4 separate regions of the Mus musculus genome follow, and all the other regions are reported to be linked to region 3. Evidence: microRNA targets listed by miRTarBase, many of them from high-throughput screens and not tested one by one. Region 3 holds a microRNA gene; each other region holds the end of a gene's coding sequence.
What was found. The annotated mature microRNA mmu-miR-344d-3p reads GAUAUAACCACUGCCAGACUGA and lies in region 3 at 4,114-4,135, opposite strand. An mRNA with a match to its seed (bases 2 to 7 or 8) in the 3' UTR can be bound and repressed. Matches are read on the target gene's strand: a 7mer-m8 pairs with bases 2 to 8, a 7mer-A1 pairs with bases 2 to 7 and ends in A, and an 8mer does both.

Region 1 (7,324 bases), not on the chromosome of region 3:
CACAGTAAGGTCAGACTGGGATATATAGCAATACTGTCTTCAGAAACCAAAACAACAACAACAAACCATTTTTAAACATCCCACAATAGAAACAGAAGACAACTTGGGCATTTTTCCTAGAGAGAGTTTCAAGATGACAGTATTAAGAGACACAAGGGAAATATGCTTCTCTGATACCTGCGTTTTACCAAAGATAGGATTTAAGTGGTCTGGGGTGAGACTTGATAATTAAAAACAAAATAAACAAACAAATGAACAAAATGAACAAACAAACAAAAGAAAAAAAAACCCAGACCCTTAAGTTCATTAGTTAGATACAGGTCAGCAGGACAATTCCTTAAGAAACTTATACTACCACACCCAGACACTTACTTCTGACGTAATGGGCAAAGTGACCATGAGGGAAGCCTAAGCCATGGCCCGGCCACTGTGGGCACGCCGTTATGGGGCATGGCTGCTCATCTGCCTGGAATGTCCCCAGCAAGCCTTTCTATAAATAGATTTTGAATCACTTTGTCAATATTATTTCTCTTATCATTTCTTTTATTTAAAAATAAATTTAAAATAAAATTTTATAGTGGCAAAATAATTTTAAATTAAAATTTCCTACTTGAAGCTAACAGAGATATATATCTTATAGAAGGGAAGACTTTCCTGCCATTAGTAACGAATGCTTAAGCCAAGGAAAGGTGATGCGGTTCAAAACACGGTCTCCCTGGAAATGCAAGCAGAGAAGCACAGCGTGGGTAAACGCTGCTGGTGAGCCCGTGGTGCATCTGCCAGGCCCTGCAAGGCCAGGACACACTTGCCACGGGGAAGCTGCACACAGAAGACACAGAACAAAATACACGGATTACTTTTAGCATGTTAAAAACAATCAACCACATCAAAAAGTATACAGATAAAAAAATGCCATAGATGACATAAGAAAATAGTGTGTCCATATATAGCATATATATATATATATATGTATATATATAATCTACATTATTTACCACTATGATATATACTTTCTGAAGAGGCAGAGAGCTGCCATCATGAACTAAACTGTACAGCTTGGCTCCTTACAAGTCACACTTTAAGACTGAAATTAATATCCTCAGCTACATGTCTATATACATTTATATCTCACCTTCCACATGATCTAAATCAAGAGCCTGGTTATTCTGTCAGGAGTTGGGAGTTTCAGTGTGGTGTTCACCTTTAATATACTGCATTTGCTTCCACACTTAATAACATCATTACCACATTAATTAACTTAGATTAGAATCATTATATACATAAAAATATTGTCACGTTTGCTAGATAAACAATGTTACTTTCATGAAAACATATTCTTGTACCTCACAAACTTAAGTCCCCACCTTGGAGCAGGGGGAGTGTCACTGTTGGACTTTCTAGTTTCTGATATTCAGATACAAGAAGAGGGTAACGGTGGGCGAGCACCTACACAGACGCCGCCATCGCTCTTGGAGAACCCAGCACTTTGTCAGTGTCTCGGTGACAGTAGTGTGTGATAGCATAAAAGGAATCATCACCTTTTTTAAAAACCATGAACTTCAGTTATTTTTCACTGAAAAAAAATTCCAAAAGTATGAAACAAACTACCCTTTTTCCCCTTTTTTTACAAAGATCAAAATTCTAGATTAAAATTCCTTATTAATCATTAGGGTATTTTTCACAATTTCGACCGGGGCCCAGTAAGTGTTAGCAGTATCCACCCACTGTGCTCTGTGAAGACCGAGTGCCAGAGAAAGCCTGTGAGAAGGGGAAGCAGGGTGAGAAGCAGCCTTCCTTATGGTTAGAGCTGCTTCCCCACGACTGTGAAATGCAATCTTCTGCGGCCTGGGGCCCTGCAAGGTCTGACTTCCCTCACACCCGGCCAGACCAGAGCCCGGGGCACAGCAGCACCAAGACTGCTGGAGATGAGGGGACTCAGTGAGCACTGTGCAGCCGCTCACTCGGGTAACCGACCCACTTTAGGCACCATCAAGTGGTGAGCCTTTAGCTTTCAGGAGGAGATAAAATGGCAGCAACTGAAGGAGAATGACATTCTGTCAGGCGCTGGATTCATCTCTAGTCAGTTTCAGTTTAGAACCTGGGTTAAAATATGTTTGGGCAGGGTGGGCAGAAAGATAAAGGGTTAAAAAAAATCCACTGTTAGTCTATGTATCTAGATTAAAGGTGGTTTTAAAGACAAAACCTATATGCAGTTGCCTCGTCTGTCTATGAAAAGGCGAGGGTCGGCCCTCAGAGTATCTGCTCTATAGCGGTCAGTAGTCTACTGTTCTAACAGCAACGGAACAGAGCGGGTCTGGGGAGCTACGAAGGGACCAGCACAGAGAGCCGCCCTGTGTGTGCAGCCCTCGTGCTACTGCTGGGTCCCCAGGGTCCCCTATTAAAGGTTCAGCCAGGATGCAGCTGACCCACTCTTCTTCAGCAGCCTCTGCAGAGGATGAAGCCTTCCCACACTCTTATCACTGACACACACTGAGCTGCGCACGCTGTTTACAATATAAAAAATACTGCTCTGGCAATTATAAACATAGCAATGTGGGCATATTGTTTCTATTCTCTTGTCAGTGAATACAGCCACACGCTCACAGCAACACTGATTCCTGCACAGAAAGTCCCTCTCCATTTCTGTAGTGATGTGCGGAAGGTGAGGGCCCTGCATATGGATACCCAGGAGGACTGGCATCTTCCACAGCTGCAGACATCTTATACCTCACTGGACTGTCTACAGACACTTCTGGAAGGCCATGGGCCTGAAACGGTATGTGCTGAAAGGCTGCATAGTTTGGTAAATTGCTTAAGTGGCTACGGTGAGCATCCCGAGTCCATGATTGGCCATGCATCTCCGGTCTGTATGTGTAACTAACTTCTGACCATTTTCTGTTCTCTGGCAAATAGTCCACCGGAGGAAGGATGAACTGTCCATTCTTTGGTGACCCCGAACTGCCGTAGCCCCTGGCACCCATGTCAATGGGAAGGACTTCAATTCGACTAGAGGGCAGAACAACAGGAGTTGGGCGGCTGTAGGCTTTCTCTGGAGAAGTGTCAACTGAAAGAGAGGAACCGTAAGGTCTCCTGGAAGGGTTAATTTGAGGCCTGGGGCTGATCTGTGTAGACACAAAACCACTGTGAGCAGTAGGGACGTGTTTTGGAGAATTTCCATGGTAGACAGGGGGGTTGCTGTAGGAGGGTGGATATGCAGCTCTGTGGTCCTCCTCTGGTAGCTGGGGTGGGTATCGTACATGGCTGGGAGGCTGCACTTTAAACGTAAACTTGTTGGGTACTTTTGGAGGACTGGGACTTGGCTCCGGGTGCTTCCTTGGACTGTGAGGGTGAGTCCGCTCTGGTCCCTCTTCCGCAGATGCCCCATGCTCACTCTCACCCCCAGGCACGTTGTCATACTGGGAAGCGTTAGAACCCCGCTTCCCTTCACCCCCATCCAAAGCCTTCATCTTCTGCCTTGAGTTTGGCAATCGGGTCTCAGCAGAGCCTGGGATGGCGACGGGAAGAGCGGGAAGAGCTGAGTGACTTTTGCCTTCGACGGCATATTTAGTAGTTCTTTCAATAGCTGAGGCATCTGATGGTTTTCTCCACTTGGGCATAAATTCCTTCCTGACGTTTGAAATTGCATTGCTATTTTGGTTAGCAGCTGCATGGTTATAGTGTCTGGAACTGTCCTGCATACCCGGTGAAGGTTTTCTCTGAGACTCTGCCTCATGCTTGAGATTTTTACTCCCCTCATCCACGGACTTCCGCCGTGACTGGCCGGCTCTTTCTGGTGTGCCGTTTCTACTGTGATGGACAGGAGAGTGCTCATGGTTCTTGCGAGGCGATCCATCTTCTCTCCTGCTGCTTGTTTTGGGGCTGGGCCGGCCAACACTTCTTTGTCCGTTGCTCAAGTGATTAACACAAGCAGACTCAGGTGGAAGCTGCCCCAAGGGTTTCTTTGGATATTCATCCTCCTTACCTAGAATGAAGGACAACAAACATGTGAACGACTGTAGATTATCTTATGTGTGTAGAAACACACACTTTCATACTGCCAAATGTCAGCATTAACAGGAAACGAATTGTAGAGAAAAGGACACCAAGACAGAGCTAACGTCAGAGCCTAAGTAGGCCCTGTGCAGATGGGGACAGCTCACAGGAGAGGGCCACCAACTGCCTAACACCCAATTCTTGTATTTCTAAGCAGAGGTGATGCTCTCAGGAAACAGAGCTGGTCGGTGGCTGAGAATTAACATTACGTTGCTTTCATTTTAACACATCTCAACTAAAGCAGTTTGGAAATCAGTAAAGTCTTTGCTTTTACCTTGAAGCAGATCTGTCAAAGTTGAAGGTCATTTGATATCTTACTCTGGTCCACAAGTCCTCCCCAGACTGTTATTATCTTGGGTATTTCCACAGTATAACTTACTAAGAGAAAAATACTCTCTAACTGAAAACAGACACCCTAACAATACCCTACTTAAAAATGTAAAGACAGAAAAAGAAACTTAAAAATGATGAAAACCATATTAGGTAATTTATTTAATTAAAAAGAGTTGTGAGTGTGCCTGGCTGGTGTGCGTGCGTGCGAGTGCACCATGGGCATGCCTGGGGCCTGGGATACTGAAGACAACACTAGATGCCCTATGGGCTACAGATGGTTGTCAGCTTGGAGTCCTTCCTAAGCAGCAGTGGACCTGACAGAGCCATCTCTCCAGCCCACTTACTTTTATATTCTAAATAACTAAGAGAATTGTGAGCAGTTGGAGGGAGGTGTAATAAAATGACCAGTTAGCAGAAAGTATTTTAAATGCTCTATCACAACATTACCAGATTACTATGAAAAATTTAAACATTTCATTTGCAAAAACTGAAAAGCATTTTAACTGTTATTATAAAACAACATCTTGAGTATAAGGTCCCTGGCTGTGACCTGCAGGAGGTGCTGTGAGCAGGAGGTGGGGTTTTCTCATGGCCCCACTCACCACGGTCTTGTTACTTCTTTTCCTTTCTTTTCTAGGGGTGGAGGCACTATGCTTACTACTCTTGGAAGTCTCATACTGCTTGTTTCTTTATAGGAAGTTTTAGTTGGTACATAGCAGCTATAGATCCATTTCTTCAGGATCTTAAAATAATGATTCAATGTTTTGTTGTGCTGGGCCCAGAAGGCTGCCAAGCTAAGCGCCCAAGTGTGATCTTGGAACCTACATGACACAGACAATAAATACATGCAGCAGAGTAGCATGTGGAAGGCAGGTCCTGGTTCCCATCACCAGCATTCCAACCCAATCCAGTCCCAGCCAATCCAAACAAAACAAAACAAAAAACAGGAAAACTAAAGTGGTAAAAACAATTAAAAATCAGGAGTAGGTGGCGCAGAACAGGAAGGAGAGCCCTTAAGAACAAGACCCTCTCTCTGAACAAGGCAGACAGGCCCCATGAGGAGGCCAAAAACACAACACAGAGGACTGGGTAGTTTGTCCTGAGTTAACTGAAAAACTCTAGAAACTTTTCAACAGATGAGTTATAATCTGAGGTATAGCATAGCAGTTACTTTAAATAGTGGTGTAGACTTAAATTGTAATAATAAGCAACAATGACAACAGTCACAATTGTTGACATTCATTAAGTAATTAATCCCTGTGTATCAGTCAACACTGTGACACAACACTGACAACAGGCACATGACTTCATGATCTCCTAGGGGAGGAAACTGAGGCAGAGATGAAGTTGCTCAAGGGTTCACGGCCAGCACGGAGCAGACACAGAGCTCAACCCAAAGCTGACGCCAGCACCCACCCGCTTCCCACAGTCTACTGTGGTGAAGGCCTGAGACACTAGATTTGTACACACATTGACGTGACATCCAACTGCAAGCAAGAGAAAGATTTAGGCTGAAACTCTAGACAGGTGCAGGAAAGTTTATTTTCAGTATAAAGAACAAGAAAAGTTTTTGCCTCACACTTTACATTTAAGTAAGTAGATTAGTATATGGAAGGAAAACCGACTTTTGGTGTGAGTCTAGCCTTCACCAGCTTAGCCGCCTCTCCAGCCCGGTGGATCCCCCTGCGCACTGTGTAAGGTTGAAGGGGATAAGACTGGAGAGAGGCTCAGCAGTTAAGATCACTGGCTGTTCTTCCAGAGGGCGGGCATTCGATTCCCAGCACCCACATGACAGTTTACAGCCTCTGCAACCACAATTTCAGGCAATCCAAAAGAAGTCTTCCCACTGCCCAGTGGCTTCCCCTTTCGTATTCCTTCAGAGCAACGGCACATGCCCACACTGACAGTGGGGAACACTGAGTAAAAACATCCACAAAATTATCTACTATAGAACATAGAACATATAATATCTGCTAAATGGCAAGCCCTCATTAGGTCCCTGTGTGCAGAAGGCACATGGCAAATATATGAAATGCACAAAACCTTTAGAGGTCATGGCCTTTTTGCTCCAGTACAATTTTTCAATAAGGAGGCAGCAGACAGGAGTATAAGAAAAGTGCCTCCTAAGATTATAAGTGCTTAAAAATCAATTTCTCTAAATGTTAAAAGCAGTGAAGCAAGCTAGCCCAGAGTCCTTCGCAGCAAGGGAGGGGCCTCTCAGTGTCTGGGCCAGAAAGCTATGCTTGTGTGTGCCCAGGCTAAGGGATACTTAAGGCATGGCTTGCGTCTTAGTTACTCTTCTATTGCTGTGACGAGACAGCACCACCAAAGCCACTCTTATAAGAGAAAGCATTTACTGGGGCTTTGCTTACAGTTCATTATCAGTGTCAGTTCATTATCATCATGGTGGAAACAAGGTAAGCAAGGTGCAGACAGCAGACAGAGAGACAGTGACTGGGCCTGGCATGAGCTTTTGAAACCTCAAAGCCCACTCTAAGTGACAGGATTAAGGCCACAGCTTTTAATCCTTCTCAAACAGTTCCATTAACTGGGGACCAAGCATCCAAATCTATGAGCCTACAGGAGTCAGGCTCATCCAGACCAGCACAGGCTATGACGGTGGCATCGGCAGACGGCTTCCAGAAACACTTGCTGACTGACTGTTGGGCTACACTACAACTGTAGTGCTCCCATGAATCTCAGCAGGGCAACCACACTCGCAGTGCATGCGTTCTTTATATCTAGCAGAGCTCCCCTCTCAGAAGCAGGTTCTAAACGATGGCTCAAAGGCCTTTCAGTTCCAGCAGCCAGACCAAACCCACAGCTTCTCTGTCAAGCAATCTGACCTCTGTTATAATGAAATTAAGGAGACAAATCTACATGATTTCCAAGCAAAGGTGATTTTCTTTTCTTTTTTCCTTCCTCCCTCCCTCCTTTC
Region 2 (8,003 bases), not on the chromosome of region 3:
CCCTCCCACAGTTCCTCCTCCCATCCCTTTTCCCCTTCTCTGAGAGAGTGGAGCCCCACCCAGGTATCCACCCCCACCTTTCCCCTCCCCCACACCCCTGCCAGGCACATCAAGTCTCTGTGGGGCTAGGTGTATCCTCTCCCACTCAGGACAGACAAGGAAGGCAGCCAAGCTAGAAGAATGGATTCCACAGACAGGCAACAGCTTTAGGGACAGCCCATGTTCTAGTTGTTCGGCACTCACTGCAGAAAGAGTTGCACATCTGCTATATATGTGCAGGAGGCCTAGGTCCTTTGGCTAGTGCATTCTCTTTGGCTAGCGGTTCAGTCTCTGAGACCCCCAAGGGTCCCCCCATATTGCTTTTGAGAGGTGTCCTACTTTGACCTGGGGCGTTTTGATCAGGCTAGGCTAGCCATTGAGGTCCAGGAACTGTCCTGTGTGCGCCTCTTGGGCACTGGGATTTTAACATGGGCTTGGATACTGCCTTCGTGTTTGTGTAGTGGACAATTCACTGACTGTTCTCTCCAGGTTAGGGGGACCTCTTTAATCCATTCTTAGCCATTTTTGTGGAGAAAGTGGCCTAAGCCTCTTGTGTTAGCCCCCCCCCCCGCCGCCCCCCCCCGCCACAAACACACACTTGTACTGCACATGTAGAGAATTTTAAGGAATCAAATTTAAAACTACAGACTCCTCAGTTTGCCCATCATAAAGTTCAATTCAGAGCTGGACATAGTGACACTCACTCTGAAGGTGGAAGTAGAAGGATGACCATCAATTTTGGGGCAGCCTGAGCTACACAACAAGTTCTAGGCCAGCCTGATTCTGGTGAAGGAGTCTTGAGATGTGCTAGAATCCCTTAGACCCGATTGGATCGATCCTCGGGGTAAAAACTCCTGCTGGATAACAAGGCCTGTGCCCCGCCATCTCCAGACTGCGATGTGGGAACACCGAATGGAAATATTGGTTCAAAATGCTATCCCAGGGCACAGTGGGATAGCTAATGGCTGAAGGCAGGGAGCTCCTTCTGGTGACATGGGGGCTGAGCACGCAGGTCTGCGAGAGGAGCAAGGGAAGGAGAGATACACGTAGAGCTACGGCCTTCCAGTGTTCATTTGACAAACTAGCTGCAGGGAGCACACAACTCCAGAGTGTAGCCATCTGCTGTTGTGTCCAGACGTGCAGAAACAGACACTGGAGAAAGTGTACAGTGTGCTGTTAGGTTTCCACGGAGGGAGGGAGGGAGGGAGGGAGGGAGGGAGGGAGGGAGGCAGGCAGGCAGGCAGGCAGACCTCCACAGCATAAAGATCAAGAAAAAGAAAAGACAACAAAAGTTAGAAACTTACAGACAAGCATCCATTTCCTCATAAACTGCCTCCCTCCCTCCAAGCTAGAAAGGCTCAGTGTTGACTTTCAAGTTGATGCTTCTTTCGTTGCTAGATTTTGCTTTTTGAAGGCAGAAAGCTAGAAACACTCACTAAAAAACAAAACAATACAAAACTGTAGCTTACTCATCTTAGTAGGTTAGGTACCAAAGTCCAGGCTGTTTATTTCTAACCCAAATATTGCAAATATACAGAAAATTACCAGTACAAAGTTAAACACATCCAGATTTATTTACACAATGCTAAAGAGATTTTGCGTTTTATTTCCATTTTGTGGGACGTCGTTATGGGGTCTGCCTTTGCTGTATGGTTGACACAGGTCTTTGAAACTTGATAATCCCACCTCACATGCAATGTTCTGTCCCAAGCGGGCAGAAGTCTGCAGTTTTCAGTACACATGCAGTGGTGGTCTTGATCCTGCATTACACTTTCCTAGGAAGGCGGCTGCCCCTCACAGCCGGGGGAGGGGCCACATGCTCAGAAAGGGAACAAAGGACTAGAGGGGAGGACAACAGGCACGTGGGGACCCTGAGCGTTTCTGTGCATGGGGATAAGAAGAATGCAGCCCAAACCCTTCTCCCTGGAGGCTCAAACACAGGGACTCAGCAGAGCTGCCAGGGGACAGGAAGTCACCTGACCACAGCTGAGGGCATGCGGAGAATGAGAACTGCACTAGGAATTCGGGGCATACTGATAAATCATTAACATGTACACTATACAGTTTATACATGTATATATGTACACACACATATATATAAAGGTACAGATTAGCTTGTGTTATTTCATATAAACAGATGCAGAGAATGTACCGGTGTGAAGAAGTGCACATAGCAAGTCCTTGAAGACAATTTCAAGTTAATGCTCCAATTCTTATTTTTGTAACACATGGACCCATGAAATCCCACCTGTACCTGTGGTTTCCACAAGCCCATAGCAGCCTGCACCTGGTGAAGCACTGGCTGATGGGATAGAAAATCTGGCACCTGCTTGCCGACTCTGGACTTCCCGGTCACCACGTCGTCATATGGCAAATCTTAAACTTTGGTTTTGTTCCAAAAGACATTAAAGTTCAGGTTACTTTCCCCTCTGGTAGGAAGGTGATAGAAAACTGAGGTGTGCCCCGCCCTCTGTTAGCAATCCTGTGCATCCCTGTTGAGTATGGAGTTGAGGGGGACCTACTGACAAGCCCTTTGCCGGGGGCGTGCATAGAGGCAGGGCTCTTCAGAGCACTGGAGGACTCTATACCTATACAGTTTACCTGCAGAGCAATAAAATGAGCGATGCCATGCCAGCCCTTTCACCCTGGGGCTTGATGGAATGGCCCTGCAGCCCTCTCAGCATCTTGTATCCTGATGGGGGGACAGTTCGGAATAGTTATGCCCAGCCATGGTTTATAGCCCCGGCCAATAAAAGAGCTGAGGGTGGCTCGCCCATACTACTACACTGCCCAAGAGAAAAGGCTAGGGGACCAGGTGTGAGCAGGCAGGGGACTAGAGGTAAGGCCCAGAGCATGGGACTGCCTGCCAGAATGTAGACTCAGAGGCAGTGGGGTCCAAGGCTCAGCTGTTAAGACTGACAGCTCCTGAGTCCACCCTATAGCTGCTGTCACTCTCCAAGGGCCTCAAAGTAGTGTTCCATTCAATTCACGGCACAGGCCCATTCAGCCATGACCTCTTGCCTCAGGAAAACCCCAAGCCCCTAACGTCCCAAGCCAACAAAAATATGTTTTGGATTTACAACTCAGGCCACTATGGATTTTCTGATATGTCTGAGCTACCTAGCAGTGTTAAATCCTATTGCCCAAGTCTCTAAGTCTCTAGAACCAACGTCATTTGCCACCACAATGCTGAGAATAACTATGCCCACCAGCCAGGCTTATGATGCTCCAAGGCTGCGCAGGGCAAACCAAAGCACAAATTCTGTAAAAAACAAAATAAATAAAATGGCTTAAAGAGCTTCAACTTCTGGCTGAGGTTGCACATCTGTGCGTGTGAATGCTTCTGAGAGCCGTTGTAGGGGCAGAGCCCAAGCCCACAGAGCCAGTGAGCTAGAGACAGAAGTGAAGGGGCAGAGAGGGACTGATCCAGAGGCTGGTCCTGTGCTCCCCGACAGTGGCTATCCCAGGGAGAGGGGGTGCCCCCAGTTACCATCACCTTTTATTTCAGCCATGAAGCAGGGGAATAATATTTTGTTTTTCAAAAAGAAAACAAAAAGGCGTCAAAATAATGGCTCTGCAGGAAACGCCTCTGAGGAGTCCTCGGCCCGGCCCCAGCAAGCCACCCATGAGAAGCTCTGCTGCAAGGACCCGGGGTCTTGCATAGCCGAGAGTTTCAGAGCTCCAAAGACTCCGGGCACCTGATTCAGCGTTGGCTCCTGGGCTCTCTCTATGGCAAGAATAGTGCGGTGCTCAAGAGAAATGAGCCAGAAACTGCCAAGCTCTACAGAAATCCCAGAAACCATTAGAGGCAGAGCACCCTAGTCTCTGGTCAGGGATGAGCATTAAGTCCATCCAGACACTAGGGGAGATCACCATACGTTGGCCTATCTACCCACACCAATCCGGGGATGTACTGGGAGAGACAGCGTGTAGTAGAAATAGATCTCTCCCCTTGGCAGGAGGTGAGGGTGGACAGAACTTTTGATAAATTTATGAGCTGCTATATCTTTGGAATTATTTTAGAATCATTACAAAATGAACAAGCTAAAAGACTTGGAGCATTCTGGCTCTAACAGGTATTGATTCTCTTCCCAGAAACGACCCTAACTTCGTTTTCTAACTGACGTTCCATGACTCACTGAGCTGCAGTTGACATCTCTTTGGCTCTCCCTCCTCTTCTTCTCCCTCCTCTTCCTCCCCCTCTTTCCCTGATGCCGTTTGTTCCTGCTGGGGAGGAGGACTCTGCCATCTGCTCGTGTGTTCTGACAAGTGAGTTTGGCACATTTACTTTCCACTGACTTTCTAGCCATAGAATAAAGTGACAGCAAAATGGATCTACTAGAGAATGTCCTAGTGGTAACTGGGAGGGACTGTGATCAGCACAGCAGGGGTAGGGAGACCAGAGACCTGCCACACCATCTTCCTCTCCAGCTAACATCTAAGCTGTACTCAGATCGCTACAGCTTTCCACTACCAGATGGCCGCCCCCACATCCGCCGATTGCATTCTCTAACTTATTTAATTTGGAAAAATATCAGATAAAATTTTTCCTTAAATTTAAAACATGAAAGCAATGTATTGACCACACACGGCATCATCTAGAAATGTGCCTTCAGTGGGGTTAGCCAACAGGTTCTGGACAACAAATAACTCAGCAAAACTAGGGGAAGGGTGAGGATAGTCTGGGAACATAACTTTGAGCTTGAAAAAGTCCATCAACCTGAAAACATTCCCAGTCCCAGTTCTATGAACAGTAGCAACTTAGGAGGAAGCAATAAGCAGCCACAGTGGTAGTTCAACTCTGAGCCTTTACAGTGGGTGATGGGAAAAATGGAAGCCTACGACGGTCAGTCCTGTGGCTGCACTGTGCACTGACCAATGAACTCCAGTAAAGGGATGGCGGAGCCTGGGCAGAGCCACTGGCACAGCACAAAGTACAGCCTGAAAGAGCTCAGAAGCAGCCAGTTTTGTCTTTAATAGGTGTCAGAGCTAGTCAATTCTCTGCCTCCCTCTTGCCACAAGTTAAAAATATTGCCCTGTAAGTTTTCCCTATTTAGTGTGTTGGAAGCACATGATTAAGTTAGTTGCCAACGGGCAATTAACAAGGGTATTGCCTAATTAAACGGGAAAAGAAAAGTCATTGTGCCCTACAGTAGTGGTTGGGGGTGAGGTGGGGATGAGGAAGCCGCACAGGGCTGGTGCTCGGTACTCTCTGAACAGGGCTGTCTGCGGATGGAGAAAAGCTGTCCAGGTGTGCCAGTCATTACACCCTCTGCTTCCTTCTCCGAGGCTGCCTCACATGACCAGCAGAGCCCAGGGACAGCACCAGGTATGCGGTGGGAGTTGAGTTGATGCTGGAGTTGGCAGATGCCCTGGGGTGGGCACCAGAGGGAACACACAAGAGCGGGGTCAGCGAAACAATCCCTTTGAGTCCCAAGTTATGTCCCTTAATGCACAAAACAAACCAAGAGAAGCCTAAAGCCCACAGTCTTACAAAAGACAGAAATTGAAACAAAAATGTTAAAGAATTTAAAATTTCCCCCCTCTCCTCAGAGCCAACTGTGAGGTCAGTCGGGGTCCCCCACCCCCATCCTGCTTTCTTTAGTGTAGGTCCTTTGGGCTTGGACAGGAGTGGCAGAAACAGAGCTGGGGCCGACGAGGTGGGAAATTTATTTCCCCAAGTCGGAGCCTCAGGGAGTGTAGGAGGTACTGTGGCTCCACGCACACGCAGTCCCAGCTCCTCTGAAGAGCTATTCCAGGAGGTCCTGAAAAGAAAGACACGTGCGCGTTATTGACAAGTTAGGAAGCTAGTTTGAAAGCAATCACCTGCTTGCTCTGCGCCTCTTGTCACTCCAGTGCTGCTTTGGGCTCATGCATAACTTGGTCCCAGGTGTATTTTTTTTTAACTTAAAATAGATTTACTTATTTTCATTATATATGTATGGGAGGCCAGAAGAGGGCATTGGATTCCCTGGAACCAGAGTTCTAGTGAGTGGTGAGCCATCATGTCTTCGCAGAGAATGAAACCTGGGTTGCCAGAGTGGCAAGTACTTTTAATCCCTGCGCCATCTTTCTGGAGACTGTCTTGATCAGAAGTATAAAAGGAACTCTTTTTAAGACTTTATTCCCAGCACTTGAGAGGCAGACACAGGCCTTGGTGAGTTCGAGGGCAGCTTGATCTACTAGACCTAGAGCTCGTCCTAAGACAGCCAAGGTTAGACAAACCCTGTCTCAAAAAACAAACAGATTAAAAAATAAAAAGACTTAAAAAATTTGGATAATTCCTCAAGAAGAAAGCGCCTCACCTCATCTGAGTCGTCGTGATATCCGCTTTTAGCGTGGGAGGTTGAATCCAAAGCCTCTACGCCGTCAGCCTCTGCGTGCTGCTGTAGCACCGAGTACCGGTGCACCAGGAACCTGTAGAGGGGACCCTGCTTAGTTCCCGAGCTGAAGAGGGAGCATTTGTTATAGTATGGAATTTCCTCAGTTTTCCACACTCATGGCCGCACTGCATGCAGATAGACAATACACAATTTAGACCTGATCTTCAGGGTTATCATTAACTCCTTAGTGTCCGCCAAGAAAACTGGACCACATGGGCTGGGGTGGCTTTTGGTTTGGATTTGGTAGCTCTGACCCACTTCCGCACTTCTTACCTTCCGCCACAGACATATTTCTTCACAATGAGGACTCCTGCTACGACTGTGACAAGCATCAGTCCCACGATGGCCAGGATAATAGGGACAGAATTTGACTTGGAATTCTTGATAAATTAAAACAAACAGAACAGGAGTTAGGCGTGCAGAGTCTATGGTTGCGCTCATATGGTCCAACACACTTAGCCAGGGTACATCTCCACCCCCCAGATGACGGGGCTAGCACACCAGCATAGGGGAATCTGAACACCAGCCTGGAAGCTGTAGTGCAGGGCCTTCAATGTCAAAGTCACAGTGGAAGCCTTGGCCACTGCCTCAAAGCAGGCATGTCCAACCTTTTCACATTGCAACGTGATGCTGTCATCTATAAAGTTCATGCTTGAGAACTGCTCAATTGAGTTACGGGAAAAAAAATCGCATGAAGAATTCATGTTTTAAATAAGTGTACAAATTTGTGTCAGTCCGCCTTTATAGCTATTCTTGGTTGTATGTAGGCCTGGGGCGACAGGTTGGACATGCCTAGAAGATCGCTTTGGTCACCTGTTCCCTGTCCCTCATTTACAACTCCTAGAGGTTATGGGTGGAGCAGGAGGAGGCTGAGAGAATGGGGTGTTGAATGGGTCTATTACTAGACTACCCTCTTTGAAGACGTGTGCCGATGCTGTTCCAGGAAGGCCACTATATGACACGAAGATCTCAGTTGTTACTACCTTTTGGCATGTTTTTACAGATAAGCCTTATCAGATCATTGTTTTCGTGTAACCTACCTGCTTCTGGGTAGGAGATAGGAAGTGTGTGTTTTCAGTGTATCCAAGAGGAGGCGGAGCTGGATTCTGGGACAAGCTGTGTCCCTGTGGGCGGGAGTCCTGTGCAATCATACACACACAAACACTCTGAGGACAGCCACCAGCAGTCCAGGGCAGGGGTGCAGAGAAGGGGGAACTGCCTCCCCTTACCAATACACACACCCACACACTCTTCCCTCATTGCCTTCAGGGTCCCTCCCCTGTCAGTGTCTCCTCCCTTTGAACAGCAGGGATGAGGTGCTGGGACTGTCAGGCATTAGGAAGATGGGCCCTCAGGTTATCTCCCAAGTCATTGCTGGCCCTGCGATGCTTAATGAGGAGGTCTCCCTAACAGTTACCTCATCTGTAGAGCTCCACCAGACAGATGGGCACCACTCTTCCTATGATTTGACGTGAGACGGTCCATTATGATCATAGCTCAGCTTTTGTTCTAGCACACTTGGCATGCATCAGCACAAAAGTCACTACCTACAGTGCAGGGCTCTCCTGCGTGTGTGCGAAT
Region 3 (8,003 bases):
CCAAAGGTGTGTCAATTCATTTCTGGGTATTCATTTCTATTTCACTGTTCTACTTGCATGTTACTGTACCGATACCATGCAGATTTTATCACTATTGCTCTTTAATACAGCTGGAAATCAGGGGTAGTGATTCCCCCAGAAGTTCTTTTATTGTTGAGAGTAGATTTCGCTATTCTGTGTTTTGGGTGGATACTAGACCAATATTTTGGAAGACCCAAGATACAATTCACATACCATATGAAGATCAAGATGAAGGAAGACAAAAGTGTGAATTTTTCATTGCTTCTTAGAAGGGGAAACAAAATACTCACTGGTGGATATATGGAGACAAAGTGTAGAGTAGAGACCGAAGGAAAGGCAGTCCAGAGACTGCCACATTCGGGGATCCATCCCAAACCTTTATATTATTGTAGTTGCTGGAAAGTACTTTCTGACTTGAACCTAATATGGCTATCTCCTGAGCAGCTTTCCCAGAGCCTGACAAATACAGAGGTGGATGCTTGCAGCTAACCGTTGGACCAAGAGAAGATCCTTAATGGAGGAGAGGCAGAATGGAATGAAGGAGCTGTAGTCATTTGCAACCCCATGGGGGGAGCAACAGTGTCAGCTAGCTCATACCCCCAAAGCAACAGGGGACTGGACCACCAATCAAAGAATACACATGTAGGGACCCAGGGCTGTGAATGTATATGTGGCAGAGGATAGCCTTGTTGTACATCAGTAAGAGGAGCAGAACTAGGGTGTGAGGGAGTTAGATGCTCCAGTATAGGGAAATGCCAGGGTGTAAAGTTGACAGTGGGTGGGTGGTTACATGAGGGATCACCCCCAGAGAGTCAGGGGAGGGGAAATGGGATTGGTGGTTTCTGAAGTGGAGAACTGGAATGGGGATAATATTTAAAATGTAAATAAGAAAAAAGCCAATAAAAGGGGGGAAAAGTCCTAGAATATAGACAGCAGCCTGACTGGTAAAATCTACCCTTGCAGACAAATTTATTTGCTCTACTTCTTCTAACTGATTGAGAATGAACATTCAAATTGAGAATGGAAACAGATCCAATCAGGAGAGAGATCTCAAACCTAGGCACGGACATCAAAACCTGCTGTAATATTGGAGGTCTCCATCAGTGCTGCTGATTCATTTCCAACCCCCTTCCTCCCTGAGTTTCCCTATGGAAGTAGAAAATTTGAAAGTGAATGGCAGAAAAACTGTTTTTAACTTCTTCTATCTACAGTGACCAAAAGAAAAACAAGTCAATGAAATCTTGGAGCTGTTCTTATTTCTGGCTTCTTTTGCCTAGATTCAAGCCAGTTACCAAATAGGTTCTGTTTCTTTTTGAACCAAAAAGACTGTTACTTTTATTATGCAAATTTTGCTGCCTCTGACTAATAGCAGGATTTCTGTGTCTTCTTCACCAATTGCTTCTGTTGTAAACTATGGTTATAGAATATCCTAGAAAATATTATCTAATACTGTAATAATAATAGAGTTATTAGAATTATAGTGCCATGTTCTGCCCATGCAATTCTCCAAGCATACTCAGTTTGCATGAAATACTGGAGTGTCTCATACAATTCCACAATATTTGGTGGAATTTAGTGCTGAAAACAATATTTATATGATGTGAATATTCACAAAAGAGCATGGTGTATTTGGAACAATCAACGTGATGTGGTTGTAAAGGTGCCATTATATTTTCTGATATATATATATAGTTATAAGGTGTTTAAGACTGTCAGGAATATCTTCACCACAATAGATCAGTTTCATAAATGTCCAGATTATATCACAAAGAATAGGTCTTTAAAGACAGAATACAAATAAGCAGAAAATCATAGGTCTAAGAGGTAACCACTAGTAAAAGGTCACGGGGAATATAACTGCCCACTTTCTTCTTTTACATACTGTAATACCAAGGTGTGGATAATCAAAGTATAATATAGTGATTTCCATAAGGGGTCAAGATCCCCTGAACTGTTATTTAGCAAAAAATTGACTTGGAAAAATGACCACCTAGACAATCTAGTAAATTAAAACAATAATAACAGTATAAATTGTGGTTATATCTATAAATGCTTCTTGCCTTTAATGCCAACAGGTAACCATCATCACTGTCTGAAGAGTAATTTGATTCTGGATAATGTATGATCTACCGTCAGATTTTTCAGAGGTTTCATGGTGGTTAGTTGAGGATATTTGCTGCCACAGGAATTCTCACAGGACCTGAACAAAAGATCTGAAGATGTCAGACATCCCCTAGACTCTGTCATAAGCTGAAGCTTGAATATTGTATCTTCTTTGCAGAAGAAACAAACGTTCATGACTGAGAAAAGTAAGTCACACTTCAAATCAGATACCTGAATTTCCCATAGGTTGACAGCTACTATACGAAACATAGAGCTAAGCAATCAGTGCATGGAAGCTCTGAAATAAACAACCACAGGCTTTGAAGATTTTCACTGGCTCTGTCTGCTGACAGTGACAACACTCTCCCTTCTCTTTAGCACCTTTCAGTCTGGCAGTGGTTATATCCAGGACAAGGTAAGTCCTGGAGTATAGCCAGCAGCCTAACTGATGAAATCTTCCCCTGCAGACAAATTTATTTGTTCTCTTTGCCTCTGATTGATGGAGAATGTGTATTCAAATGGAGAATGAAATCAGATCCAATCAGGAGAGAGATCTCATATGTAGACATGGGCATCCAATCCTGCTGCAACACTGGAGATCTCCATCAGTCCTGCTGATTCATACCTCAACACTTTCACCATGGATTCTCAAAAGGAATTAGAAAAACCGAAAATGGATGGAGAAAAAAGCTGGTTTTACATTCTTCTCTCTACACAACCAACAGAAATACAAGTTAGTGGAATGTTAAGGGTGTTCTGATTTCTGGCTGCTTCTGCTTAGATGTAAGCTCTTTGCCAAGGTTCTTCTGCTTCTTTTAAGGCCTTTCTGACTGCGATTATTATCTTGCAAATTTTGTGTGGCCTGCTAAATATTGATGTGCCTGCATCTCCCTTGGAAATTGCTTCTGTTGTATATTCATGTTTTAGATTTTCCCAGTACAATAATGTTTTATAGGGTATCTTCAAAGAGGTTTTGGAATACAACGTTCAATATTCAGCCCATACCCTGCTCCCCAAGTATTCAGTTTGCAAGAAACACTGGAGTGTTTCAAAAACCTGAAAAATATTAATAGAAATTCAGTGTTGAAAACAAGTTTTAATGCTTTGATTATCCAAAACAAAACATTGTGTGTACAAATATAAATATGTGTTTTGAAAAATACCATGGCATTTTTAATGCATGTACAGATTAATGTGATTTTTTTATTGTCATGAATGTATAAATCAAAATAATAAAGTTTCATGAATATCTACACTATATGACAGAGACCTGACCTCTAAACACAGAATTAAAATAACATGAAAACTTAGGACTCGAGTTATCCACAAGTACAAGATAACAATAAAAATACTGCATCCATTTCTTCCTGTATGTCATGTTTTATCCAGTTGGAGATGATCTGGACATGATCTATTGATTTCTGTAAAGGGCTTATGATTTTATCGAGCTCTGAGGTAGCAAAGAATTGACCTGGAAGAAAAACATCCTAGAGAATCTAGTAAAGGATAAGAATAATAAGAAAACAAACAATAGTTGTCTTGTTGAAGGTCTGTGGCCATTACAGGTAACATGCTACTAGCAGCACAGACCCAATACTGCTTGGATTCGAGGAATGGTAGTATGTTTGCTGGTTAGTTACATCTGAGTTTACTTAGAATCTAAGTTGGCATGTTGAGGACATTTGCTGCCATAGCAGTCTTCACAGTGGCTAATTTAAGAATATAAAAATTTCCAAAAATTCCTAGTCTCTGACACAAGCTGAAGCTTGGATCTTGTATCTTCTTTGCAGAAGACATATCCTAGCACGACTGAGAAAAGTAAGTCAATCTCCAAATCTGAATTTTGCATAGACTGACAGCTACTATACAAAACAAGGACCATAGCAAACAGTGCATGGAGACTCTGAAATAAACAAGCACAGGCTTTGAAGATTTCCACTGGCTCTGTCTGCTGACAGTAACAACACTCTCCCTTCTCTTTAGCACCTTTCAGTCTGGCAGTGGTTATATCCAGGACCAGATAAGTCCTGGTGTATAGCCAGCAGCCTGACTGATGAAATCTTCCCCTGCAGACAAATTTATTTGCTCTCCTTGCTTCTGATTGATGGAGAATGTGTATTCAAATAGAGAATGATATCAGACCCAATCAGGAGAGAGATCTCATTTCTAGGCATGAACATCAAATGCTGCTGTAACCTTGGAGATCTCCATCCATGCTGCTGATTCATAGCTCAAGCACATCACCCTGGTTTCCCCAAAGAAAGCAGAAAAATGGATAGTGGATGGCAGACAAACCTTCTCTCTACACAAACCAACAGAAATACAAGATAGTGGAACGTTAAGTATGTTCTGATTTTTGGATTCATCTGCCTAAATTTAAGCTCTTTGTGGGAGTTCCCCTGCTTTTTTCAAGCCTTTCTGACTGTTTATTATCTTGAAATTTTGCTGCCTGCTGAATAATCGTGATGTGCCTGTATCTTCTTCCCCTATTGCTTCTGTTTTATGTTCTGATTGTAACCTTTCCTAGTACAATAATGTTTAATAGTGTATTCTCAGAGAGGATTTGGAATCCTAACTTCAATATTCTGCCCATACTATGCTTCCTAAATACTCAATTTTCATGAAATGCTCAAGTGTCTCAAAAAATCTGAACAATATTAAATGAAATTCAGTGTTGAAAACAATATTTATATGCTGTGATTATGTAAAACAAAACATTGTGTGTAGGAAAATATAATGTGTAGTTTGAAAGAAGACATGCCATTTTCTGATGCATATAGAGATTAATGTGATTTCTACTGTCAGGAATATATTATTCAAAATAATACTGGTTCATGAATATCCAGAATATATAACAGAGGCCTGCTCTCTAAAATCAGAATGAAAATAATTAGAAATCTTAGGACTCAAGATATCTACGAGTACAAGATCACAATGAAAATTACTGTATCCATTTCTTCCTTTATATTGCGTTTTAACCAGCTGGAGATGATCTGGACATGATCTATTGATTTCTGTAAAGGGTTCCGGATTCTAAAGAGCTGTTATATAGCAAAGAACTGATGTGGAAGAATATCAGCCAAGAAAATCTAGTAAAGGACAAGAGCAATAACAAAATAACAAAATAAACAACTGTCTCTTTTTTCCCCCACCCGGCAACTGTCTCTTATATATATATAGAGAGAGAGTATTAAGTGTAATCTAGAGTTGAAAACATTGTTCATGGACTGTAGATAATCAAAACCATATGTAAAGTGAAGTAAAAATTAAAGTGTGCTCATGAAGAGGACAGAGATTATTTTGATGTACATACAATTGTAATTCGTTTACTACTGTAAAGATTATCTGAAAAAAAAAGTAATACATTTCAGAAATGTCAAGGATATACAACAGTGACCTGGACTCTTAAGACAGATTCGAAATAACAGAAAAAAAATATAGGTCTCAAAGGAGTCACTAGTACAAGTTCCCCATGAAAATTTCTGTGCTCATTTCATTTCTATAGTGTATATAATACCAAGGTGGAGATCTTCAGGAGATGGATGATATATTGATTTCCCTAAAGGACCCATGACTCTCTTGAACATATAGTTAGTAATGAAGTGGCTTGGAAGAACATACATGCTCAAGATTCTAGTATATTAAATATAAAATAACACTATAAACAATGTTTCAATTGTTGAATATTCATACCATAAATAAAAACCTGCTGCCAGAATCACTGCCCTAAGGATGCTTAGTTCCTGAGTAAGGTAGTATCTGTGTCTATTAGTTACATCAAGATTTTTCAGAGACTCCATGGTGGTATGTAGCAGGCATTTGCTTCCACAGCACTTCTCACAGTGTCTAACCTAAGTTTGTGAAAATGTGAAAATTTTTCTTAGTCTCTGTCACAAGCTGAGATTGAATCTTGTATCTTCTTTGCAGAAGACATATTCCAGCATGACTGAGAAAAGTGTGTCATTCTCCAAATCTCCCATAGAGATTCTCCGAATCTCCCATAGAGCGACAGCTACAATACAAAACGACCAAAGCAATCAGTGCATTGAGGCTCTGAAATAAACAAGCACAGGCTTTGATGATTTCACTGGCGCTGTCTGCTGACAGTGACACAAGCACTCTCCCTTCTCTTTAGCACCATTCAGTCTGGCAGTGGTTATATCCAGGACCAGATAAGTCCTGGAATATAGCCAGCAACCAGACTAATGAAATCTTCCCTGGCAGACAAATTTATTTGCTCTCCTTGCTTCTGATTGATTGAGAATGTGTATTCAAATAGAGAATTGAATCAGATCCAATCAGGAGAGAAATCCCATATGTAGACATGGACATCAAGTCCTGCTGAATACTTGGAGCTCTCCGTCAGTGCTGATTCATACCTCACTGGCTCCTCTCTGGCTTCCTGGAAGGAAGCAGGGCTATTAAAAGCAGAGGGTAAAAAATGTTTTAAACATATTCATTCTACACTGACAAACATAAAAAAAAGTCACTGTGACTTTGGAAATCTTCCTATTTCTGGCTCCTTCTTCCTAGCTTTAAGTTATTTGCCAGAGATTCTCAGTTTCCTTTTCACCTGACTGTCTATCTTACAATTTTTTGCTGCCTGCTCACCCATTGTGATGTGCCTTTGTTTCCTTATCCAAATTATCTGTTGTATGCTCAGTGCATGGCTGTTCCTTGATAATTTAATGTTTATATTATATTTTCATGCTTCCACAAAGAGTTATTTTAATACTAAATTTAGTATTCTGCCCATGCCCTACTCCACCTGTACTCAGTTTGTATGAAATGCTGCAGTGTCACATAAATCTGAAAAATATTTCATTCAACTCAATTTTCAAAACTGTGTTAATATGCTGTGGTTATTGACACTCAAATATGGTATATGTGGAACTTTTAATGTGTGGATTTTCTATTCTATTTTTTTTTATTTTCATAGGCTATTTTCTTAACTTATTGGTTATCCTCCATTCCCCTTTTTTCACACAGTAACCCCTTCTCCAATACTCCACCCCTCTGTTTCTATGAGGGTGTTCTCCCACCCACCCATCAAAAATCCACCTCCCTGCATTTACATTCCCATATACTGAGGCATTGAGTCTTTTCAGGGCCAAGGTATTCTTCCCCTATTGATGCCTGACAAGACCATCCTTTGCTACATATGAGCCATGGGTCCCTACATGTATACTCTTTGGTGGGTGGTTTAGTACCTGGGAGCTCTGGAGCAGTTTGGTTGGTTGATATTGTTGTTCTTCCTATGGGGTTTCAATTCCTTAATGTGTGGTTTTAAAGAGGTCAGGGAATTTTCTGACACATATAAAGCTCTAATGTGATTTCTACTGTCAGGAATACATTAATCTAAGCAATACAGTATCAGAAATATCCAGGATATATAACAGAGACCTGATCTCTAAAGACAGAAAGAAAATAGCATTAAATCTTAAGACTCACAGTATCCTTCAGTAAAAGGTCACAATGAAAATTCCTGTGTCCATTTCTTTCTTTACATGATAAAATACTAAGTTGGCTATGATCAGAACATGATATATTGATTTCCCTGAAGAGCTCATGACTCTACTGAGTCATTAAGTAGCAAAAGACTGACCTGGAAGAAAAGCTGGCTAGGTAATCTAGTAAACTACAAGAATAATAACAGAATAAACAATGGTTTTATTGTTGAGTGTCATTGGTCATTAATGGTAGCATGCTACTGTCGTCACTGTCCCAAGGCTGCTTGAACTCTGGGTATGGTAGGATCTGTGTCTGTTAGTTACCTCTGATTTTTCTTAGACTACAAGGTAGGATGTTGAGGACGTTTGTTGTCATTGCAGTTCTCACAGTGGTTGATCTAAGGATATAAAAATATCAGAAAATCCATA
Region 4 (8,003 bases), not on the chromosome of region 3:
AACTTCATACCACAAGGAAAATGAATTATGTATTACTATCATCAGGCAGTGGATATTAATCAGTCAACAGAGGGTTTTGAATTTCAAATGTGCTTGCCTTCAAGACACATTGAGCTAGCTCAAACAAAACCAAAAAATAATGAGAAAAAGTAGAAGTGTCTCTCTAGACTGAAATGCAGGGCTGTGAGCTGGAAGATAGTCAAGAAACTGGGCTTTTCAAATTCTCTATCTCTTAGCCCTGTCTCTTTCTCTATGTGCATCTGTGTTATTCTCCTTTTCCAACTAGAGTATTAAGGTTTTCCTGTGCATATGGGAGAAGGGAGATACCAACAGTTTCTGAGTGTATATATCTTTCCAAAGAAATAGCTTTGGCAAATAAGATGGCTTATTGGGTGCAGGTGCTCACAGCCCATGCTTACTTAGCTGGTCCCCAGAATTCACAAAGGAAGGGGAAAACAGACTCCACAAAAAGTCGTCTTCTGGTTTCCACATGCATAACACACACACACACACACACACACACACTCAGACAGAGAGAGAGAGAGAGAGAGAGAGAGAGAGAGAGAGAGAGAGAGAGAGAAATGATAAATGCATACTTTTCTTAGAACGAAAACTGCTTAGACTGACCTAAACTCACTTGGATCCAGTTACAAACATCTGGTTGAGAGCTTCCCATCAGCCCCTCTGGGGTCAAGTGTCCACCTTAGTCTCATGAATTGAATTAAGGGGTTTAGGCATTGTGTAGTCAAATCATAGCTCACAGAACTTACCCTGCAGGTCAAGATCAAGTTTTGAAGAAGGAACCATGCACCCACTATGATTTGTAATCTCTACAAAGAAAAAGGTCAAGAAATGATATTTTCTTCTGTGATAACCAATATAATTTTCTTTGACATTTGTCACTTTATGGTAGCCCTTTAATATAAGTGAGGTATTTAGACATTATAGATGCAAAGGGGTGTTGTTAAGGATCCGAGAAAACGTTTCTGGATTTAACAACGGTAATGGTAGAATGGGATCCAAACTCTCCTAATGCTTTTACTACTTGAAAAAGCTATAGGCACAGACCTAGCATGGTCTTCAAGGATTCTATAGTATTTAAGAAACAATAGAAGAAAGAGACTACAATATCTCAGTTTGTGTCCAATCATTACTAAATATAACTACACTCTGTCCATAGTTTCTACTTTTGCTTTTCCAGCTTTACTACAGATAACTTGATTATCATCTTTATGGATAACCACATTTTACCTCTCAGTTCTTTCTCATGTTATACACAGGCTTATACCATCTTTCTGATGTCCTCACATCTAATCTTAAATAAAATCTCTCCCCATTTCAAGTGGAACAAGTAGCAGGATTCAAAGACTCATATGTCACAAAATGTACCAGTCAATGGGATTTTTGATAATTCCATAATGATTGTGACAGGAAAACAGTATTCCTTGCACATCTCCAGAGGATGTTCTCTGTTCTTAATTTTAAGTTGGGCCCTTATAAAAAACTGAGTAGTAGGAAGGACATGGAGAATGACCAAGACAAGCAAACAAATAGAAGCACATTTCTAGGCAGAGTCATCACTTTATATCAGAAGAGACCATTTTATAATTTTTGAACCATATTTTCGAATAGACTTACAAATATGGAATTAAACCAAGATATTTTTCTAAATGGAAAATATCCTAGTGACTGTACATATAAATACTCCGTGTACAAGGTTTTTGGGGATTAACTAATTTGCTATGATTACTCAACTATTACAGATGATTTACTTATGTTTCATATCATCCCTGCCAAGCAACCTAAGGCTTAGGTTAATGTTAAAGAAAACAAGAATTTGCAATTGAAAACAAAATGGGAGGAAAAGGGAGGAAGGCAGAGAGAAAGTGGTCTTGAGAATCAGTCTTCAGTGAGATCAATTAGGAGTCTACTCTGTTGTTATTTCTCAAGAATATGTCCTCACAGCCAAAGACTCCTTCCATTTATGCAATGGTGACAGTCAACTAAACACAATCCATGGACTACTACAGAACATGATTCAAAGTCTGATTTATCATTTAGTGCTAACTAATGTGTCCAGCTTTATACACATCCCCTTGAATACTCTCAACTACCCCCCCCCAAGACAGAAATATTACCTTCACTCCCCTGTCATTCAGCTTGCTATCAGGTGGTGCTGTGATATACCTGGTGTTAAAACATTGGAATACTTTAGTAATACCTTTTATCTAAGGCCTTCATTCCCTGCATGTTGGGGATATCAACATTACAAACACACACACACACACACACACACACACACACACACACACAGAGAGAGAGAGAGAGAGAGAGAGAGAGAGAAGAGAGAAAGACAGATGACACACTAGACTAACCAAGAAGCCATTTTAACTAGACAAAGTCATGCTGGAGTACTATACTCTAATGTCACCAATTTGTGTCATGCTGTTGTTGCCTTTTCCCCATAGGGTTGTTAAAATAGAGTGTCTCTTACCAAGTCAACCAATGACTAATGAATAAACTATATATTATGTAATTCCTACATAAGCCCATTGCAATCATGAACAGTTCTGCCTTCACCAAACGGCTGACCCTGAGGAAGCAACACGGGTCCAGTGATTTACCAGCAAGGTTCATGATAAAAAGATAAAAATTTGCATAGGAGAGCCTCACACCTATTTTTAAAAAAATGCTTCACTCTTCTCTATATCCTGTACTCCATTCATAACATGCTCTTACCATTTACTCCTGAAGGTGAGAGGCATGGGCACAGTCACTTAGAAACTCTGGTATGGTGTATACAAACATGCATGTGCTCTTCTATCACCTGTACCATTGCATGTTTCGTGCTTTTGTGAACCAACTCATTTGGACAAGAAGCACCTAATGCACCATTATTAAACTGAAAATACTCAATTATACATGACTTAACTATTACCTTATACAAATTAAGAATGGCAGATTTGTGAAGATAGGAATGGCTTTGGTGGGGACTTGGTCTTTGGAGCAGACAGAATAGAGCTGAATCACAGATCTGGTACTTACAAAGACATGTGACTTTGAACCAGGTTATTTTTCTTGCTGAATTTTGTTTCTACATTTTAATATAGGCATATAATATATAATAACACTGGTCTCTTAGACTAAGGGAATCAATACCCTTCATGTAATGGCTGGCATATAGACAATGTTTAGGAATCCTAAGTCAAAACAGTGGTTTCGAGGCAAAAAATTAAACAGACTTCAAAATTAAAGCCAAGGCTCACCCATGGCACTGTGAAGAATCCCTGTGAGCAGGCTCATCTAAAATCCCTGTCCAGGCTTTTAACCACTTGCTCCAATTCTCTTTCAGGTCTTCGGGTTTTTGAATTTTATCCTCTGGGCTGGAAACATTTGGTTTGTTTTCAAGGAGACTGGCTGGCATTCCTCTGGACAGAGATACCTTTCAGACCCCATGGAGAAGCACTCCAGCAGCTACAATCAAGGACGCTACAACCAAGAGAGTTATGGGTCAAGTGGTGGGTACAGCCAGCAGGCGAATCTGGGGCCAACTTCCGATGAGTTTGGCCAACAGCCTAGTGGTCCCACTTCCTTTAACAATCAGATATAACGGAGTATCACCCAAATTCTTCTGGTGATAGCATCACCACCCTCCATTTCAGTAGCAGAAGAATTTTTAAGAGTTTCAATCAATTATTAATGTAGAGAATGTTGAATGTAAATCAGAGATCTGTAGTCCTCATTAAGACACAAAGGCCTGGGTGGTGATAAATGGTACTTAGAGATGAGATGTCATAAGGAGATAAATTATTCATCACAGATGGGTAATTAGAAAGTATCTTGTTATATACACAGACACTTTTATGGTCGTTTTGTATTGTGGTAAAAATAGTAGAAGCATTTGTAGCTTAAAGTCTCTAGTATGTAATGTGCATAGATTACCTTAAATAGTATACAGTTTTCGTATGTGTTTTGATGCAACAAATATTTTACTGATTTCTAGATGACTATTTGATGAATCACATCATGCATGCATTACTATTTTTTAGTTTAGGCCTTTTAGAACTGTAACTCTGTTTTGATAATTATTCTCTATTGTTTTCACTTGATAAAACAATGTTTATATGATTTCATGCATGAATAAGTATTTTCTCACAGAATGTTTGGCTGTATTTCTGGAGACATTTCAGTTTGCATCATGAGTTTGTTAAGCAAGTATTTAAAGACATGTATGCATGTCTTTCTAGACTTTGCAAGTTTGTCACTCTGACTTTACCCAAGTTCTGAATGCATTAGAGCTAAAGTCTGGGAGCTTTCCCTATTTGTCAATAGTGTTCTGTAAGGTGACTGCTCAACACTTCTCTGATTTATTTAAGTAAATATTTACATTCTTGTAACTTTCTATGCAGTTTCGTGTATCTTATCTTACGAGCCATGACTGATAACGTCCAATGACCCTGTGCTTGTAGAGTGGCGTTTTCTTTGCATCCAGAGAGGCAGATTTAGACACCATAGTTTAAGTAGTATTAAGAAATGAGCTATGCTGTTTTATGTGACCAAATGAACGTTTGTTTAGTTTTGTTTATTTTTGAAGCTAATATGTTGTTCATTCTAATTTTAGAAATCTCATGTTATAGCTTAACAGAATTACTAATTTCGATTTGCTTATACATAGATTAATAATGGCTTCTCTATGTCACTCTATTCCCAAAGAGGGTTCTCATGAAACTCTCCACAGAACATATTCATTATTAAGAAGAAACCAATCTTCGTTTCTTCATTTTAACTCAATTGAAATAAGAATGCCCAACAGGAAGGGCAAGCTAAACATCTGTGCTTCTAGATAAAGTTGTAACTGATGTGCAAATTGTATGTGTGATCTGTGATGTTGAAAGCAGTTTAGCACAAAATAGGCTGTCTTAAATACTATCTGTAACTAGTTTCTTAAATCCTATTGTTTATTAAATCCTGTACTGTGATATCTATTTGACCTCAATAAAGTTATTGCATACAAACTGACTGAACAATGAAGAATCATAACTATAGGGCCCTGTTGGCTTTAATCATGAGAGAATAAAGGTTAAATGCAATTCTTCTAGCATCTATGCCCCTATCTCCTGCCCCTCCCTCTCACACTTTTTTTATTTCCACCTTTTTGTGCATATTTTATTTGCATTCTCAGATGCCCTCTCCTCCTGTCTCTATGAGTGTGTGCCCCCATCAACCCTCCCACTCCTGCCTCCTGCCCTTGCATCCGCTATACTGGGGCATCGACCCTTCACAGGACCAAGGGACACTCCTTTCATTGATACCCAACAAGGCCATCCTCTGCTACATATATGTCTGGAGCCAAGGGTCCCTCCATGTGTACTCCTTGGTTGGTGGTTTAGACCCTGGAAGCTCTGTTTGGTTGATATTGTTGTTCTTCCTATGGAGTTGTAAATTCCTTCAGCTCGTTCAGTCCTTTCTCTAACTCCTCCATTGGGGAACCCATGCCCAATCCATTGGCTAGTTGAGAGCATCCACCTCTGTATATATCAGGCTCTGGCAAAATCTCTCAGGACAAAGCTATATCAGGCTCCTATCAGTGCACTTCTTGGCATCTACAATAGTATCTGTGTTTTTTGGCTGTATATGGGATGGATCCCCAGGTGGGGCAGTCTCTGAATGGCCTTTCCTTCATGTATCTGCTCTGCACTTTGTCTCTGTATTTGCTCCTGTGAGTATTTTGTTAACCCTTCTAAGGAGTGAAGCCTTTGATCTTCATTCATCTTGAGCTTCATGTGGTCTGTGAATTGTTATCTTGGGTATTGCCAGGTTTTGGGCCACTTGTCAGTGAATGCATACCATGCATGTATTTTTGTGACTGAGTTGCCTCACTCAGGATATTTTCTAGTTCCATCCATTTGCTTGAGAATTTCATGAAGTCATTGTTTTAAATAGCTAAGTAGTACTCCATTTTATAAATGTACCACATTTTCTGTATCCATTCCCCCCTGTAGAAGGACATCTGCGTTCTTTCCATTTTCTGGCTATTATAAATAAGGTTGCTATGAACATAGTAGAGCATGTGTCTTTGTTATATGTTGAAGCATCTTTTGGGTGTATGTCCAAAAATGGTATAGATGGGTTCTCAAGTAATACTATATCCAATTTTTTGAGGAACCATGAGACTGATTTCCAGAGTGGTTATACCGGCTTGCAATCCAACCAACAATGGATGAGTGTTCCTCTTTGTCCATGTGCACGCCAGCATCTGCTGTCACCTCGGCATGACTCTAACTAAGGAAGTGAAAGATCTGTATGATAAAAACTTCAAGTCTCTGAAGAAAGAAATTAAAAAAGATCTCAGAGGATGGAAAGATCTGCCATGCTCATGGATTGGCAGGATCAACATTGTAAAAATGGCTATCTTGCCAAAAGCAATCTACAGATTCAATGCAATTCCCATCAAAATTCCAACTCAATTCTTCAACGAATTAGAAAGGGCAATCTGCAAATTCATCTGGAATAACAAAAAATCGAGGATAGCAAAACCTCTTCTCAAGGATAAAAGAACCTCTGGTGGAATCACCATGTCTGACCTAAAGCTTTACTACAGAGCAATTGTGATAAAAATGGCATGATACTGGTATAACGACAGAAAAGTAGACCAATGGAATAGAATTGAAGACCCAGAAATGAACCCACACACCTATGGTCACTTGATTTTTGACAAGGGAGCTAAAACCATCCAGTGGAAAAAAGACAGCATTTTCAATAAGTGGTGCTGGCACAACTGGTGGTTATCATGTAGAAGAATGCGAATTGATCCATTCCTATCTCCTTGTACTAAGGTCAAATCTAAGTGGATCAAGGAGCTCCACATAAAACCAGAGACACGGAAACTTATAAAGGAGAAAGTGGGGAAAAGCCTCGAAGATATTGGCACAGGGGAAAAATTCCTGAATAGAACAGCAATGGCTTGTGCTGTAAGACCAAGAGACAAATGGAACTTCATGAAACTGCAAAGCTTCTGTAAGGCAAAAGACACCGTCAATAAGACAAAAAGGCCACCAACAGATTGGGAAAGGATCTTTACCTATCGTAAATCAGATAGAGGACTAATATCCAATATATATAAAGAAGTCAAGAAGGTGGATCCAGAAAATCAAATAACCCCATTAAAAAATGGGGCTCAGAGCTAAACAAAGAATTCTCACTTGAGGAATACTGAATGACTGAGAAACACCTGAAAAAATGTTCAGCATCCTTAATCATCAGGGAAATGCAAATCAAAACAACCCTGAGATTCCACCTCACACCAGTCAGAATGGCTAAGATCAAAAATTCAGGTGACAGCAGATGCTGGCGAGGATGTGGAGAAAGAGAAACACTTCTCCACTGTTGGTGGGATTGCAAGCTTGTACAACCACTCTGGAAATCAGTCTGGCGTTTTCTCAGAAAATTGGACATGGTACTACCGGAGGATCCCGCAATACCTCTCCTGGGCATATATCCAGAAGATGTTCCAACTAGTAAGAAAGAAACATGCTCCACTATGTTCATAGCAGCCTTATTTATAATAGCTAGAAGCTGGAAAGTACCCAGATGCCCCTCGGCAGAGGAATGGATACAGAAAATGTGATACATTTACACAACGGAGTACTACTCAGCTATTAAAAAGAATGAATTTATGAAATTCCTAGGCAAATGGATGTACCTGGAGGGCATTATCCTGAGTGAGGTAAGCCAATCACAAAAGAACTTGAATGATATGTACTCACTGATAAGTGGATATTAGCCCAGAAACTTAGAATACCCAAGATATAAGATACAATTTGCAAAACACATGAAACTCAAGAAGATCGAAGACCAAAGTGTGGACACTTTGTCCCTTCTTAGAATTGGGAACAAAACATCCATGGAAGGAGTTACAGAGACAAAGTTTGGAGCTGAGACAAAAGGATAGACCATCTAGAGACTGCCATATCCAGGGATCCATCCCATAATCATCCTCCAAA

Region 1: the mRNA of Usp6nl is a reported target of mmu-miR-344d-3p. Seed matches in the 3' UTR shown: 7mer-A1 at 975-981.
Region 2: the mRNA of Sort1 is a reported target of mmu-miR-344d-3p. Seed matches in the 3' UTR shown: 7mer-A1 at 2,134-2,140.
Region 4: the mRNA of Synpr is a reported target of mmu-miR-344d-3p. Seed matches in the 3' UTR shown: 8mer at 3,843-3,850.

The regions. Positions count from the first base shown.
Region 1 is chr2:6,437,019-6,444,342 of GRCm38, reverse strand. Usp6nl (USP6 N-terminal like) reads right to left here. Exons shown (of 15, transcript NM_001080548.1): 15 at 523-3,982. The coding sequence ends at 2,601. It overlaps Gm13388 (a long non-coding RNA gene), which reads left to right and starts at 6,739. Exons shown (of 4, transcript XR_373976.3): 1 at 6,739-7,324.
Region 2 is chr3:108,355,030-108,363,032 of GRCm38, reverse strand. Sort1 (sortilin 1) reads right to left here. Exons shown (of 20, transcript NM_019972.3): 18 at 6,696-6,802; 19 at 6,345-6,456; 20 at 1,514-5,804. The coding sequence ends at 5,790. Among named protein-coding and RNA genes, the nearest start is that of Mybphl, 5.9 kb to the left of the region's middle.
Region 3 is chr7:61,679,014-61,687,016 of GRCm38, forward strand. It overlaps Mir344d-1 (microRNA 344d-1), which reads right to left and starts at 4,179; the gene lies at 4,111-4,179. Mir344d-2 (microRNA 344d-2) reads right to left here and starts at 6,338; the gene lies at 6,259-6,338.
Region 4 is chr14:13,610,372-13,618,374 of GRCm38, forward strand. Synpr (synaptoporin) reads left to right here. Exons shown (of 5, transcript NM_001163032.1): 5 at 3,353-5,098. The coding sequence ends at 3,610. Among named protein-coding and RNA genes, the nearest start is that of Sntn, 57 kb to the right of the region's middle.